2 linked regions of the Lonchura striata genome follow. Each later gene encodes a partner of the first gene's protein in a complex. Links are inferred from orthologs where the notes say so. Each region holds a gene or a part of one and is shown on either strand. Other genes may lie near its edges.

Region 1 (7,177 bases):
CACAGAGAGCCAATACAACCCCACAGTACCACAGCTGCAGTCATCTGTTGACAAGAGGCTCTCTCTGGCAAAATAAGCACGTGGAAATGCCTTCAGTCTCTATGAATGCTATTTAAACAGGATGTAAATGGCAGTCTCACTTCTTGCCAAATTTGTCACATTCTTTATTATAAAGCCCGAACAAAAATCACTCAGGCACTTGCAGGGAAAAGGTTCCCAGTGGCGGTGCAAGGAAAAAGAGTTGAATATTGAGCAGTTTTTGACATTTCCATTCTGCTCCTGGCAGTGGCCTTAGGCTACATTTCTGCACAGGGGACTCTGCACTGCCACAGGGGAGGGAGGAAAAGTACAGAGAGCAGAGATAGAAATGAAATGGGAGTAGGGAGGGCAGGATACTCAGATGGCTTGAGGGGGGTCAAGGCAGTGACTGAATGACAGCAATCAAAATTCTCATCAAATTCAATCTTCGTCCTTCAAGCTTCCTCCCTCATGGCTGATAGGTAACAGGGAGCATCATGAAAACAGACATTCTTCCCTCTGGGCACAGGGAGAGTCTGCTATTACTCTGCAGCTGATTGGGGGGGAAAAAAAAAGGTTGCATTGATGGATGGATGCTGAAAGGAACCATGTCCAGTCTTCCATGACCACAGGATGGAAATGCAAGGCACTCTCACAGAGTACTGGATGGTAGGGGACAAAGCAAGCCTTGAGGGAGGACAGGAGAAGAAGAGAGAAAAGACTGTTCCGGAATATTGCATCAAAATGAGGACAAGGCAAGTCCCAAATGGAAGGAAGTATGGAAGCATGTCAGTTTGCAAGAAAAACAAAAATTAGGAAGGGACTGTGGACAGAAAAGATGAATGGTTTACCCTTTGAGAAGCTACATTAAGCTGTTTTCTACATCCTCCTTCCCAGTTTGCAACCAAAGGAAGACGCGCTTGACCAACAGCCAAAAAAAGATACTTATTATAAACCTGTATGCTGATAAACAGGATAGGTCTGAACAGGGAGATCATCTCAGCCAAGCATCTACACTGAGGCAAAACCAAAAGCAGCACAGGAACTAGCTCTGGAGCAATCCAGAACAGCACATCAGCTCTGTCCTATCACTTCTGATGTTCCTATGCTGCTGCCAGGACTCTAACCATCACACCGATACCTCTCCCAGCACCACAAAACCAGCCCAGAATACTCCTACATCTATGTGATGCACAGATGATGCACATACATACCCAAGGACAGCTGTCTTTTGCAGTAGCAAGTTATTTCTTACAACATGGTGTGGTTTTGTTCACACAAGTTTTTGTCTGATGTGTCCCTGAAGTCTCCCACAAGTAAGTGTATAAACCCAGAACGAGATGGAGGATCATGAGAAAGGTTCCTCCTTGCTTCCTCAGTACTCCAGAAATTGCACCTCTGTCTTCCAGGACACGCTGCCAGTGTGATCTGTTTCCCAAGCCTTCTTTAAGGACAGTCTAACTATATGATGAAGGGTAACCTTGAAGTGAAGGCAAGAAATTCATGAAGTAAAGAAAGTTGGCAGGTATCAATCATGTCAACATCTTAAAAAATTCTTTCTAGTAATAACTCATTGGTAGGAGACTTTTAGGAGACTTTTACACTCCTGTGGCCACAGCATTTTGCAGCCTTATGTGGGTACTTCTAAATAGGAAAGCCCAAGTTGCCAGATACCACATTTACTCGGATTACCAATAAACCAACGGCAGCAAACAGAAAAAGTTACCTAAACAAAATCATTAAGGCATCCTAAACGGTTTTACAATGAAGTGTAAATTGTCACTACTGTTGGCTTCTGGTGTTTTAGAGGTGTCTGCTCCCATGGGCAGAGGCTGGCGGAACCCTCCCCGTCTGTGTCACACAGGGTGCTCTGCAAGGCTCCTCTCTGGTGGTGGCAGCAAACCTTAAACACCTATCGCTGTGCATCGCTTCTCTGGATCCTCAGCTCGTTCTGAGGTAAGCAGCGAAAGAACCTTTCACGTTATCTCCTTTCAGACTTCAGTGCCCAATGCTAAATTCCTCCCCAGGTCTAGCAGCGACCTCCTTCCAGCACCTTCCCCTGGACACAGCCAAACGCCTCCTAAGCCTACAAACCATGAAAGGAGATGCACGGCGGCTCTGAAAGCCATGTGTGAAGTTGCCCAGCTCTGCAGCCAGATGCAGTATTTAAAACCGTTAGACCTGTGCTCCAGGGCTATGAGGTCAAGCAAATAAACTCCCTTTTTAGAAAAGACTGGAAAGGAACCTACCCACCAAAGTTTTTGCACCAGCTGATTCCCCAAAGGCCTGAAAGGCACCCATTGCCCTCTTCACCGCAAAGGTCCGTCAGCGCCGCAACAGACCAGCCCTGATGCCCGGTCCCGCGGCGAGCCCTGCTCCGGGGCACCTGCCCGCCGGCGGCCGCAGAGGGCACCGAGCCCACCTGCCCCACCGGGGAGGCTGCACACCGCTGCTCAGCGCTGGACACCTGACGCCGGCCGCTCGTTCCTGCCCATTGTTCAACAAGCACTTAACCGCGGGGACATTTCGTACCGATCCCCGGATAGTTTATTGTCAAAACAGCCGGGCCGGGGAGGCGGAGGGGGGTGGAGGGGTTCCCTGCAGGTCTCTCCCCCAGCCCCGGATAGCCGCGCACGGCAAACAAAGGACTTTATTTCCCCCGGCGGGGCGTCCCACAAGGGCAGCGCGGGGCGATGCCGGGCACACCGCTGGCTGCCGGCCGACCCCCGGCGCGGCGCTGCCCCGCGGAGGGGGCCGCCAGCGCTGAAGTTTTCCCTGCCGCCGCCCGTGCAAACCCCGGCCCCGCGGGGCTCCGCGCCCGCCCGCGCCCGCGGCTCCCACCTGCGGGTAAGAGGCTCAGCAGAAGCAGCAGCAGCAGCGCGGTGTGCGCCAGCTCCCGGGCGAGGATCGCGCCCTCCATCCCGGCGCGGCTGCCGCTCGCACGGCCCGGCGCGGAGATGCCCGAGCCCCCGCGGGAGGGAGCGGAGTAGAGCCGGCCCCGCCCCGCCCCGCGCCGCGCCGCGCCCCCGCCCCGCCGCCGCGGGGATGGGCGCAGGTGAGGAGCTCCTCCGCCCCCGGGAGCCTCCTCTGGGCTCACCTAAAGCCCCTAAACAGAATGGTTTAAGGAAAAAGGACCGAGCCCAGTGGCTGAATGGGCGCTCAGTGCTGTCGTGAGGGAGAGCTCGCCCTCCTCACGGGCGGCATTCTGCCACGCCGAGCGCCCGAGGGATCGGGGCCGCGGGGCTGCGTAAACCCAAGTGGAACGTGGACCGGAGAAAGGTGGGGGGAGCGGCCGGGCCGGGCACGGGAGCTGGAAAGGGAGAGAGCATCCCTTAAAGGGCAGGTACAAAGCCGTTTGCCTAGCTTTGAAATCCTCACTGATCGCCCCTGGAGCTGTTAACGACTGGCTGGTTCTGGAGGCGCCAAAGGTATCGCCTCCGCCCTGGCTCGCACTGCTGACATCCACCCAGCCCGCTGTGGGCCACCACCTATTGAGGGCCAGAGCACCTCGAGTGAGACTTAAAAGTATGTGCTGTGGCACAAAGCGAAGACTTGAAAGAAGTGGCTGGTTTGGTATGGAAACGAGAAAACTGACAGGGAGCTTAAACGTGGAAAGGGTCCTTAAGAAAAGGATTGTGAGTGATTGTTTTTAATGTTTCTCAAGGGCAAGAAAAAAAGTTATCCATTTAATTCTCAGGAAAAAAAAAATCGCTTAAATGTAAGGAAGGCGATTGCAAAGAGCAAGAGGATTTAGACTACAAATGCATTGCAAAAAGGGGTTGTGGAATCCCACAGAGGGAGTTTTTTAAGCACCGATGAGACCACTGACGAGGATCTGGGAGCACTCACTTCTGTAACTGCAGAATTGGAGTGGAGCTGCTCTGCAGGCAGAAATAACACAAACTACACAAATTCTTAGCTTTAACACTGTTTTAGCAGTCAGTGTCACACACTGTTGAGGTGGAAGAAAGGTATAGAGGTGACCCAGGCAAAGGAGCCATGCATGCATTCACCAGCCATGCTCTGCCCAAGGTATCCACAGGCAGCACCTTAACAGGCAGGTGGGCAAAGGACACAGACTGTCAGAAAATCCATAACAACACTTCTGGATGTACAGAAAGATGTAGAGGACATATGGCAAAACTTTCACCACTGGAAAAGCATAAATGTAGACTTCTTGAAATGTGTCAGTACAGATCAGAAAAATTATTGAAGGTAAATATTCCTTTTTTTTCCCTTCATCTTCCTTTCTTTTTCACTCCTGTCAGATTTTTTCCCAAGGTTAATAGCACTGTCCCACATGGTCCAGCATGAGATGAAAGTCTTGTCTTGCATGTTTAAAACGGCTCTCTCCATTTCTTTACTCTCTTTCATCTCTGACAGCCAGTCTCTTTTGATAGGTGAATCCTTCCTCTGCTGCAAAACAGAATACTTTTTGTTAGCACACCAACAATTTCAAAATCAAATAACATCTTAAAATCCTATTTCTTACTATGTGCTAACCTCATCAAATTAACCTTAGGGAGGAAAAAATTACTGAAATACTTAATTTATTAGTGTCGTTTCCCTCACACCCCCCCCCCCCCCCCCCATTTTCCAGGTGTCTCTGGATTTTGTTTCTGTAGGAGAAAAAAAGTGAGCCTGAATTTTTAAATGTAAACATTTGGAACGCTTAATTTCTTAAAGATGCAAAGGTAGGGCACTATACTGTAAGAGGTTTTCACTAAAGCATTATCAAGGAACATGTGATGTTGTTATTGTGGCAGGTTTTTCCCTGTTCTCCTTGATTAGTGCTCCTTCAGTTAGTGGCCTGCCTTTAGGTCCTGCACATCCCTGATCACATGAATCTGAACTCCGCATGGCTCTGCATCATATGCCTCATTTTCACAAACATTAGCTCAATGTTACATCTCAAAATCAAAGTGGCAACAGTATTCTCCACGTGCTTTGACTGACTATAAATAGCAACAGTAAGTGGGAAACAAAGGTGAATTGCTTTTAACCTTGCCCCTTCATTTATTTTAAATAATTAAAATGATAAATGCAGTTGCCCTTTTCAGTGTATTGCACTGAATGCTGTAAGTTTTGTTGTCTATATCCTGTTTGCATTATAGAAGCAAAAGAAAGTTTTTTAAGCAGTGGAGGGTTCTCTTAGGTCTTTTTCCTACCTTTGTCTGAAATATGTGAGCATAAACCAGAAAGGTTCTTCTTTGACTTTGCAGCCAGCCTCACGTGTTTCTCTCTTCAGTTGTCACTGTGGTACTATGGCAGTGAGTTAGGACAGGTAGTGCCATCTCTCCTCATCATCTGCTGGAGACAACTTGCAGTAGGTTGACATTTGGGAGAGTGTGGAATGAAGAGAGAGACAAGAGAGATCTGCAGCCTTTGGACACAATACACATTTGGAGATAAGAGCGATAAGCTTGGAGAAATATGTGAAATTATATTTGAAAAGTTCACTTCCCTTTGAAAGCTTGAAAGTGATTTAAAATTTGTGGATGAACTCCTTTGAAAAGTCAATTCAAAATATTGCTTTTAGATATCCATGGGAATGCTTGCTGAAGTAAACACTGAATAGGTCAATAATATTGGTAAGATTAAGCTAATGTCAACAAAATACTGCTGCTCTAATGAAGGGTTTGTCATTTCTGTATCTGAATGGAAATGCATTTAGAAATGAGCAAGTTTGATGGTTTAAAACAATTTATTTGTCAGAGCTATGAAAACCTTTTTTACAGCATTAATAATCTTAGACTCTTTTTATCTATGACAAAATGTATCTGTTGAGAAGAGAGGAATTACTCTTCTGATACAGCCAATCAATGTGGCTAGAATCCTTCCTGATTGCCCACAATAACAACTTTTTCTATAAGGTTGTAGTTTCCTTTTTCTAAATTGCAGATTGACAGACTTTAGGCTGGAACATGGCTCTTTCATATAAGCTGGCAGCCCCAGCAAACCAGACAGCTCCAGAATTAACTCCTCTGTGATTCCTGAAGGCTTTGAGAAATTACACAAGTTTGAAACACATATTGATTTACCAGTGTTGCAGTAAAACCTATCTAATCACAGGCATAAAAGTTTGTTAAGCTTTTAAAAAGTAAAAAGTGGTTAAATTTCTGCCTTGTGCATTCATCTAAAGCATCATTTCTGAAGAGTGAGTTAGGAATGTCATATGACCACTGTGCAAAAATATATACTCAGCACTCTGCAGTATCTTGATCCAAATTGACTAAACTGTAGCTGTGAATTTTCTCCACCTTCTGTTTTATTAATATTAAAAAAAAATAGAAAAGTGTGTGAAGTCTGCTGGTCTAAACTGTTGGTACAAGAAGGTATAATCCAGCTGGACCTGTTTTCTAGAAACTGAGATTTTGGGACATCCCATTTCATTTTTTTTATTAATCTCTCGTCTTCTGCTCTCCACGCTGACATGTTAGGGTGGGTAAGTGGAGAAAACTGATAGCATTTGATAGGCACATGTCTTAAGACTTCATCTGTAGATGGCAGGATTATAATGTCTTCAGCCAGTGTAATTGATGAAATGTCTGTTATTTTTAGAGGGATGACACTAAAATAAATTCAGAAGAAGTGGACACCTTTATCTCATTCCCCCTGGAATAAGAATCTTCAAACTGAATCCGTTCAGTATTACTAAAGTGAGAGGTGTAGCTTATTCCCTTTTAATCCAATTGTGGAGAATACTCAGTAAATCCCATTGTGACTGTGATCTTAAACCAGCATTGCCATCCTAGTTAATTAAAAATTTTTCCAGCATTGAATGTCAATGAGAGCCTAGATATAGTCGTAATTGAAGCTTGAAATATATGCTGTTTTTGAAGACATCTTGTATTATCACACACATAGCACACTATTGTAAACACTGTTTTATCAGTCTAAGCTTAAGTGGAATATAAAGGCTCTAATCTTCTTGATAGTATTTTTTTGTTAGTTTATAGCCTGCAATCTTACTAAGAAAAGAGATTTGTCTTTGTGAACTGCCAAGTGTAGTTCTTGCCTTTATCACTTGCAGCTTTATTTGCACAGGCCACTGTTGAAAATTGACTCAGTGCAGGTCAATTCAAGTGTTGTTTTGTCTTACTTGATTTTGTTGCTGGATTGTCATTGGGTTTTTTTTCCATGAGTTGAGCTCATGAAA
Region 2 (7,176 bases), on another chromosome or scaffold:
CTTCCAGAAAAATAAACATGCAACAAAACAGAATGCAAACAAATTTTGGAATAAACATAAGGACAAGGAACATTACAGATGTAATTATTTCTCTTCTGAAAAATAAAAAACATAAAAAAAGGGTAAACTCAAAGTTCTGTATTTGCTCTCAGTTTAATACTTTACAGTACAAAATATACAGCTACATGGCATAGGATATCTCTATTCTGTTTTTCATCCTATCCAATTTATACTCAAGACATTTTAGCATCTGCATTATATTCCCTTTTATGCTATTGGCATCTTATTTTCTTCCTTGGAGCATCAGAACTGCTTGAGCTACCCTCTTTTAATTTGTTGCTAACACACATTAAAGCCCCATCAACAAAACACTGAGGCACACACCAGCTGAGAACAGTCTCCTTCCTATCTATTTTATGTTATTGCATTGTACTACCCAAACACTATCAAACTAGTGCTGCGTAGGCCCAAGAGAGCCATAAAGAAAGAGGAAAAAAAGGCACTCGAGCTAGGGATTACCCTGGACTATGGCCCCACTTCTGCCAACAATAGCATAGCAAGTATATAGTGTACTCATGGCAGCCCTACCAAATGAAGTCCTGCAAGTGTTCATGTTCAAATTACTCTAAGACTATAAAAAAAATCATAAGAAAGAGCAGAAATAATTAACTTGCTTTGTATGAACAACTTCTAGTTAAGATTACACTCTCCCATTCCACCAATTCACTATGCCAAGGAGAGTCAGAAATCATAATCTACTCACAGAATAAGAACCAGTTACCATTTCTTCAAACCATCCCTCTCCAAGAGTAACCCAGGGTTACTGACCAACTTCACAATCTAGGATCAAAGAAGTTAACAGCATATTATAAATTAATACACAAATGTTTTTTAGATTTCAGTACGTCAAGTTTTTATGAAGCTACCAAGTCTCCTGAATCTATGCAAACACTTGGATGCTGCAATACATGCAGTGCATTAAAGTGATGCTCATGAAGCCCCTGGAAACAACACAGAGCTTCTTGCTAAATACTCCATACCCTTGCAGCTAATCCAAGAAGTTAGCTAATATGGGTATGTCTGTATAACAATACACTGTTATCACTTATTTAATTTAATTTTATCTTTTAAAAAATTTATTTAAATCTCAAAACTTGGGATATAGGGAATACATCCCTAATTAAGCATACAAGAAGTGAACCTGGTTTCAAGTAAAAGCTCAGTTCCAAACACAGTGTAATGCCAGAAACCCAAGAAATATCAAATAGGAAGTGAAAACAGTACTTGATGGGGGTTTAACACATCAAAAAACTGCATTTTGCAAAAGCTGAAATTGTCTTTCTTAAGTTACACATAAAACTGTGCATTATGACTACTATCTTATTGCAGAAGACTCAAAAAATACCTACACATTCTCTAGCTGTTTAGGGTCTTCCAGCCAAGCTAAGTAATTTGTTTCATAATCGCACCAAAGCTTCCCTATTTTCTACAATCCAAAGATGTGTCTATTAGCACAAACAGAAACTAGAAACAGAACCAGTTCTACTTTATTCCACCCATAGAAGAAATGCAGATGCATTATTCCTGGAGTACTTGTGCAGACAGCAGCACTCCAAGACAGGAGGCCTGCAGCAGGCATTTTTTAACTACAGGTGTATTGAGAGGATAGACACGGCATAAACATTCCTGGCCTGTAGGAAAGAGTGGTTAAGACCTCACAGTGAAAGGGTACAAGAATTTTTTAAGGGGAAGTCAGTTTCCCTGTCTAAAGCATATTCTATGAGCAACTACTGTAATGCAGTGCCCTACTCCACACGAAAAAAAAACATTGCGTTCCAAACCAAGATGATTTTGAAAACATAGGGAGACAAAAATAAAGAGGACAGAAAGACGTAGCCAAAGTACCCTCACATCACAGAAGCATCATCCTCTGCATTTCTCAAAACCCCGTTGTTTTGCAAAGGCTTTTTTCATAAGCAAACGGGCTGGCATGGACTAGTTGTTTTCTAAGAGAAGTGGCATCATGACAGAAAGAGAGTAAGAACAATGAAAGCGAATAAACTTTGCGGATCTGGTAATGCTTTTGTTGAAGGCAAGTTCTTAAGCGCTGTCTGTCATAAAAAGGAGCCTCTCTCGCTCGCCCCTTCGGGAGCTCTCGGCGCACCCTCACCTCGCAACAACCCGGGGCTCCTCCACCGCACAAATCCCGACACCGGCTGCCCAAATCGCCACCTCCGGGCACCCGCCCTGCCGGAGACGGGGACACACCAGCCTCAAGTGAAGGCGGATTTCACGGCGGGCTGAAGGAAAATCAGCCCAATTCCGCCGTCCCCCACAATGGCACCAGGAGGCGCGGGGTGCATTCGGGCAGCGGCCCAGGGCAGGAGCACGGGAGCCCGGCGGGCCCCGCTGCGGCGACTGGCGGGGACGAGAGGCTGGCCGGGACCCCTCCTGTCACGGCGGGGGCCGGGCAGCGCCTCGCCGGCCCGGGCCCGGCGCTGCTTCCCTCCCGCCCGCCCGGCCGCCTCGCAGGCCGCGCCGCGGCCCCGGTGGCTCCGCAGGGCCTGGCACCGCCGCGGGCTCGGGGAGCCCAGCAAACAAAGGGAGCCGAGGCCGGGGCCGCGGCCCGGGAAGAGGGCGGCGGGCAAGTGACGAACCGCGCCGGCCCAATCCACGGCTCCCCCTCCACCGCGCCGGCCCTCCGCGCCCCGCGGCGCGGGGAGGGGGCGCCGGGCCGCGGAGCGCCCGCTGCCCCGGGGACGCTCACCCGGCGGAGGCCGCGGTGTCCCGCTCCCGGCGCGGGCCTCGCCCCGGGCACCTCGGCGGCGCGGCCCGGCCTGCGCCGGCTCCCGGGCTCGGCGGGGAGCAACCTCCGGGGGTGGCGGAGCGGCACTCACCGAGGGGGAGGAGAAGGAGGAGCTGGCTCTGCTGTTGCTTTCGCGGGGCCCGGCCCGGCTCCGGCTCCCTCCCTCGCCGTGCCGCCGCCTCCCTGTTCCTGGCGCCGCCGCCGCTTCCTCCGCCTCCTCTGCCCCCACCCCTCCGTCCTCGGAGGGGCGCACGGGGGCGGCGAGCCCGCGATGGCCGCCGCCTGCCGCAGGCACGGCTACGGCTGCGGCGCCCGCGCACGGCCCGGCGGCGGCGGGAGGGCCGCAGGCATCCCCGCTCCGTCCTCGCCTGCCCGGCCGCCCCTGCCGCCCGGCCGGCTCCACCAGCCCTCGGCGGCCCTTCCCTTGCTCGGGTCTGGGCGCCTCGCCCGGGCTCGTTCCCGCTTAGCGGCCGCGGGAAACCCGCGGGGGGCAGCCGGGAGCCGCGCTGGAGTGGCAGCAGGGAGGCGGTCTGGCTTTGTTAGCCCCGGCCCTTTCCTCTCTCCCCCAGCGCTCCGGTGTGTGAGCGCTGCGCTGGGCTCCAGGAGCTCATCGGCCAAGTTCACAGGGAGCCACCTCCCCTCGTCGTTCTGGCGGGGGCAGCCCCTCGCTGGTAGCGCCCGGCCAGAGGGGTCCCGCGGCCGCCCCCCGCTGCCGGCCACGGGCGCTCCCCTCCAGGCCCGCTTGCGCTGGAGAGGGAGCGGGAGAGGGAGGCAGGGAGGTGATCTTTTCCTCCGCTTCACCTTCCCTCACACCTCTTGACGTGAAAGCGACGCGCCAGAACAGGCGTTACTTTTGTGCTCCACTCTGCTTCACAGATCTCCTCGAGAAATTGACACTAAACTTCAGGCATACCAGCTGTGCTGCAGCAACTTCAGCCAAGCAGACTTCTTTGATTGCTTGTTCCCCGGTCTCTTCTTAAAAATAAAATGCTAACTCCTGAGCAAGAAAACAATTCTTAGTTTAGGATGTGTGAGACTGATGGAAACAACAAGCAGGGTGTGAAGGATTAAAATCTATCGACGATACGGCTCTTAAAAGTTGTTGCAAGTTGTGTTTGCTGACTGAAAAGTTGTTGCAAGTTGTGTTTGCTATTTTACTGAGCAGCTAGTAAAATACTACCTTAGTTTCCTCCTTGTAGTGTATATAACTGATACAAATTAACAACCAGATTTGCACAGATAAGCACAATTTGCTTACCTATGTAGTCGCATGACAGAGTACTTGTATGGCTTATTATGAAGCAACTGACTTCAAGGTTAAGAAGTATCCAATGACACTCAAGATGTCATGCACATGCTCCTTGAATTCCGGGAGATCTGAGGTGTTAGTGAGTTCAGGTCAGTGACTTGTTTAACTGCCTAGGGTATTTGAGATCCGAGTGTGCCTTTATTGTATTCATATTTTTATATCCCAGGCATTTATAGAGAATTAAATACTTTCCTTGAGTCTCATTCAAGGGTCGTATGCTTCCTTATGTGTCGAATCAACCTCAGTTTCTGGCAGGCTGTGACCATTTCAGATGATGACTAATCAGAGTTGCAGAAAGAATGTTTTTTCTCAAATATAAGGTTTGACTTTTTAATTTATAAATAGAATGATTTATGTTTTAATTAAGTGTTTTAGATTAGAACTGTTTGTTTTACGATTATGATTACATATTATCAGTGGTATAACAAAGCTAAGAATCACTTCAAGTGGATCACATGAAACCTTATGGGTTTTAACTTTTGTTTGTAAAACAATATTGTAGATATGAAAAATACAAATTACTTCCTAGGTTGGCAGTGGTGTTCAAAGAAAGAAAATTAAACAAATAATAAAATACTTTTTTTTTTTTACAGCATTGAGCATTCCTTCTTCTCCTGTTATAAGTCTTATAAACTTATAAGTTTAGCAACCAAGTTAAAAAGGGGAATAAGAGAGAGCAAGCAAGGCTCTAATGGGGAATAATTTAATTTTTGTGCAGTTCTGTCATTTTGTGAAACAAGGAATTTTTCTTTGTGTGTGTGTATGATCTTACCTTCTTCTTGGGCTTCTTTTTCCTTGGGATACAAGCATTTGAAAAAGTAATTACTTTCAGGATTCTGCTGGCATTTGTGCTTGACACATATATGTAGTATTAACTTAAGCTTGTTTAGTATAAACTTTTCAGCAGCAGCTGTGGGACAATAGCAGCAGTATGTGAAGAAGCCAACTGGGCTTAAAATGTTTGTCCTTCATTTTGCTTTCAGGGAGCTTTTACCATAGGCAACTTTTGCAGTGATCTACCTTGCATATGAGATGAATTTTTAAAATCATCTTAGAAATCTTATTCTACAGTCTCTCAAACTACTAAAAAAACAGTTGAGTCTGGATGATGAGATTTTCCAGGCCATATGTTGACCAAAGGTTTCCATGTGTCTGAAAGTGCTCTCTTATCAGTCTTATGAATAAAAGGACTTAGCTTTTTGCAGAAATGGGACTGATAGACAACAGGAAGGTTGAAGAAACTTAATGCAAAATATTTGGTAGCTTTTTCCCCCAAATCTTCCATATCTTAACATTCTTCTCAGTAGTGATGATGTTAAATATGGCTTAAATTAGCATCACTACTCCAAGCACTCACCTTTCTCATTTTCTCTCCATCTCCTTCCCTCCTCCTGCCCGTGCACACCCTTTCCTTTTTTTCAGTGACTCCAGGCCTCATTGGTCCTCTCTAAGCCAGCTCAGGTGGCAAAATCTATTGAGGTTCATTTTCCTAACAATAAATTGTGACATAAAGGAGAACCGATGCCTTATTTCTCACATCTTTTTCTTTTCCATAGGCAACCAGTGTGCTCTTGGTTTGACTCAGTCTTAACATACAGCTTCAAGTTTAGGATAGACTTTTCCCCATGGAAATGTGGCAACAAACAGCCATATCCTAGTGAGAGCAACAGTTTATCACCAAGTCTGAATTCACACAAGTGTGCGACTGATGTTGCATCCTGGATGGCAGACAAGGAGAATGCAAGCGGGATCACTCAGTTGAGTTTTTCTTGGCTTAAAAACACATATTGAACTAAATTGGGCTGTTCGTACATTCATGCATCTTGTTTCAATGCTCTTTGTATGTATCACCTATCAGACTTGCTTCACAGTTGCTAGCTTTTTTGAAACTACAAGAACTAGAAATTTGGTCTTGGTAATAGAAAATAATTTTTTTCCCATCTGATTTCTTTATATTTGGGAGGTTCTAAAATCAGGAACTCTACACCCAGTTTTAATTACTTAGGGGTTGCATATTGATGTACTCTCTATTTTTATATGCTTATGCCTTTTCTCTCTTACTTAAAAATGTGATTATAAATAATTTTATTATTTTTTTAGATCAAACTGTGTATATACAAATCTGTAGTGCAGAGGGACAGGTCAGAAACCTAAATTATGAGTATTCACGGACAACAAAGCCAAAAGTTATGTCCATTGTATCTATTTCTTTCTTATTGCTATCTACCTGAATGGCATAGATTATCATCACCTTCTTACAACTTCCCTGGCCATGGCTCTTTGGCCTGAATTGTGGTGGGAGGTTAGTGCCTTTGTCTAACTGTTCTTGCAGTCATATAGCTCTGATTTTATTTTAAGCACCCAAATGCTTTCCTTTCCTGTTCAGTATATTTCAGAAAGGGAATTTGTTGTAATTTTACTGAAATGTTTAAATTATTGTAATGCTTTATAGGATTTTGATTTTTAGATCTTAAGTGTTCAGATGGCCTTGAAAAAACATATGCTTTTAAGGAAAGCCATATATCCAAAATCACTAAATTGCTGATCATTTTTTGTAACTGTGGCCTAATTTTATGGTTTTAAAATTCCTGTTCTCCTTTTTTATTATGTGAATTTATGTATTCCTTTATTTGTATTTTTAGATAATATAGTATATTTATATTCCTATGTTATAATATGTATTAGAAGTCCCCATATATCACATCATCACATATGGTTTTCAGACATTGTAGGTTGTTTGCTCCACTTTAGTTTCTCTTAGGTTCTTGCACATTTTCTGTTGATAAATTCAATTTCTATTATTAAAGTTCATTTATGTAAATATTTTCAAAGTGGGTTTTTTTTCTTTTTTTTGGAGGGAGTTCCCCCTCCACCCATTTTAATACTATTGTTACAAAAAAAAAAAAAAAAAAAAAAAAAAAAACCCAAAAAAAAACCACCAAAATGAAGTGAAGTATACAGGAGTTTCTTTCACACAGACAAACCTTTTGTCTCAGATTGGAGTTAAATTTGCATTATTTACTAGTACTGCTGAAATAAAAGGTATAGATGGCATTAAGAC

The links. The genes of interacting proteins can lie anywhere in the genome.
Region 2: the proteins of KIT (region 1) and SOCS6 are in contact, whole or in part, in a crystal structure (PDB 2VIF), measured with the Homo sapiens proteins. The link is inferred for Lonchura striata from reciprocal best matches to the Homo sapiens genes KIT and SOCS6. Residues at the interface, in NP_000213.1 of Homo sapiens: Asn566, Asn567, Tyr568, Val569, Tyr570, Ile571, Asp572, Pro573, Thr574; in NP_004223.2 of Homo sapiens: Arg391, Glu395, Arg409, Asp410, Ser411, Ser412, Asp413, Ser419, Phe422, Thr428, Leu429, His430, Thr431, Arg432, Phe442, Tyr443, Glu444, Gln445, Val448, His460, Asp464, Ala469, Phe470, Cys471, Tyr472, Ser473, Arg474, Ser475, Arg476, Thr482.

The regions. Positions count from the first base shown.
Region 1 is NC_134606.1:27,108,966-27,116,142, reverse strand, and holds the start of KIT (mast/stem cell growth factor receptor Kit), read right to left. Parts: upstream 3,006-7,177; 5' UTR 2,939-3,005; coding exon 2,860-2,938; intron 1-2,859. UniProt on the Homo sapiens protein: Tyrosine-protein kinase that acts as a cell-surface receptor for the cytokine KITLG/SCF and plays an essential role in the regulation of cell survival and proliferation, hematopoiesis, stem cell maintenance, gametogenesis, mast cell development, migration and function, and in melanogenesis.
Region 2 is NC_134603.1:56,548,403-56,555,578, reverse strand, and holds the start of SOCS6 (suppressor of cytokine signaling 6), read right to left. Parts: upstream 3,093-7,176; 5' UTR 2,898-3,092; intron 2,847-2,897; exon of another isoform or gene 2,768-2,846; intron 2,193-2,767; exon of another isoform or gene 2,171-2,192; intron 841-2,170; exon of another isoform or gene 764-840; intron 1-763. UniProt on the Homo sapiens protein: SOCS family proteins form part of a classical negative feedback system that regulates cytokine signal transduction.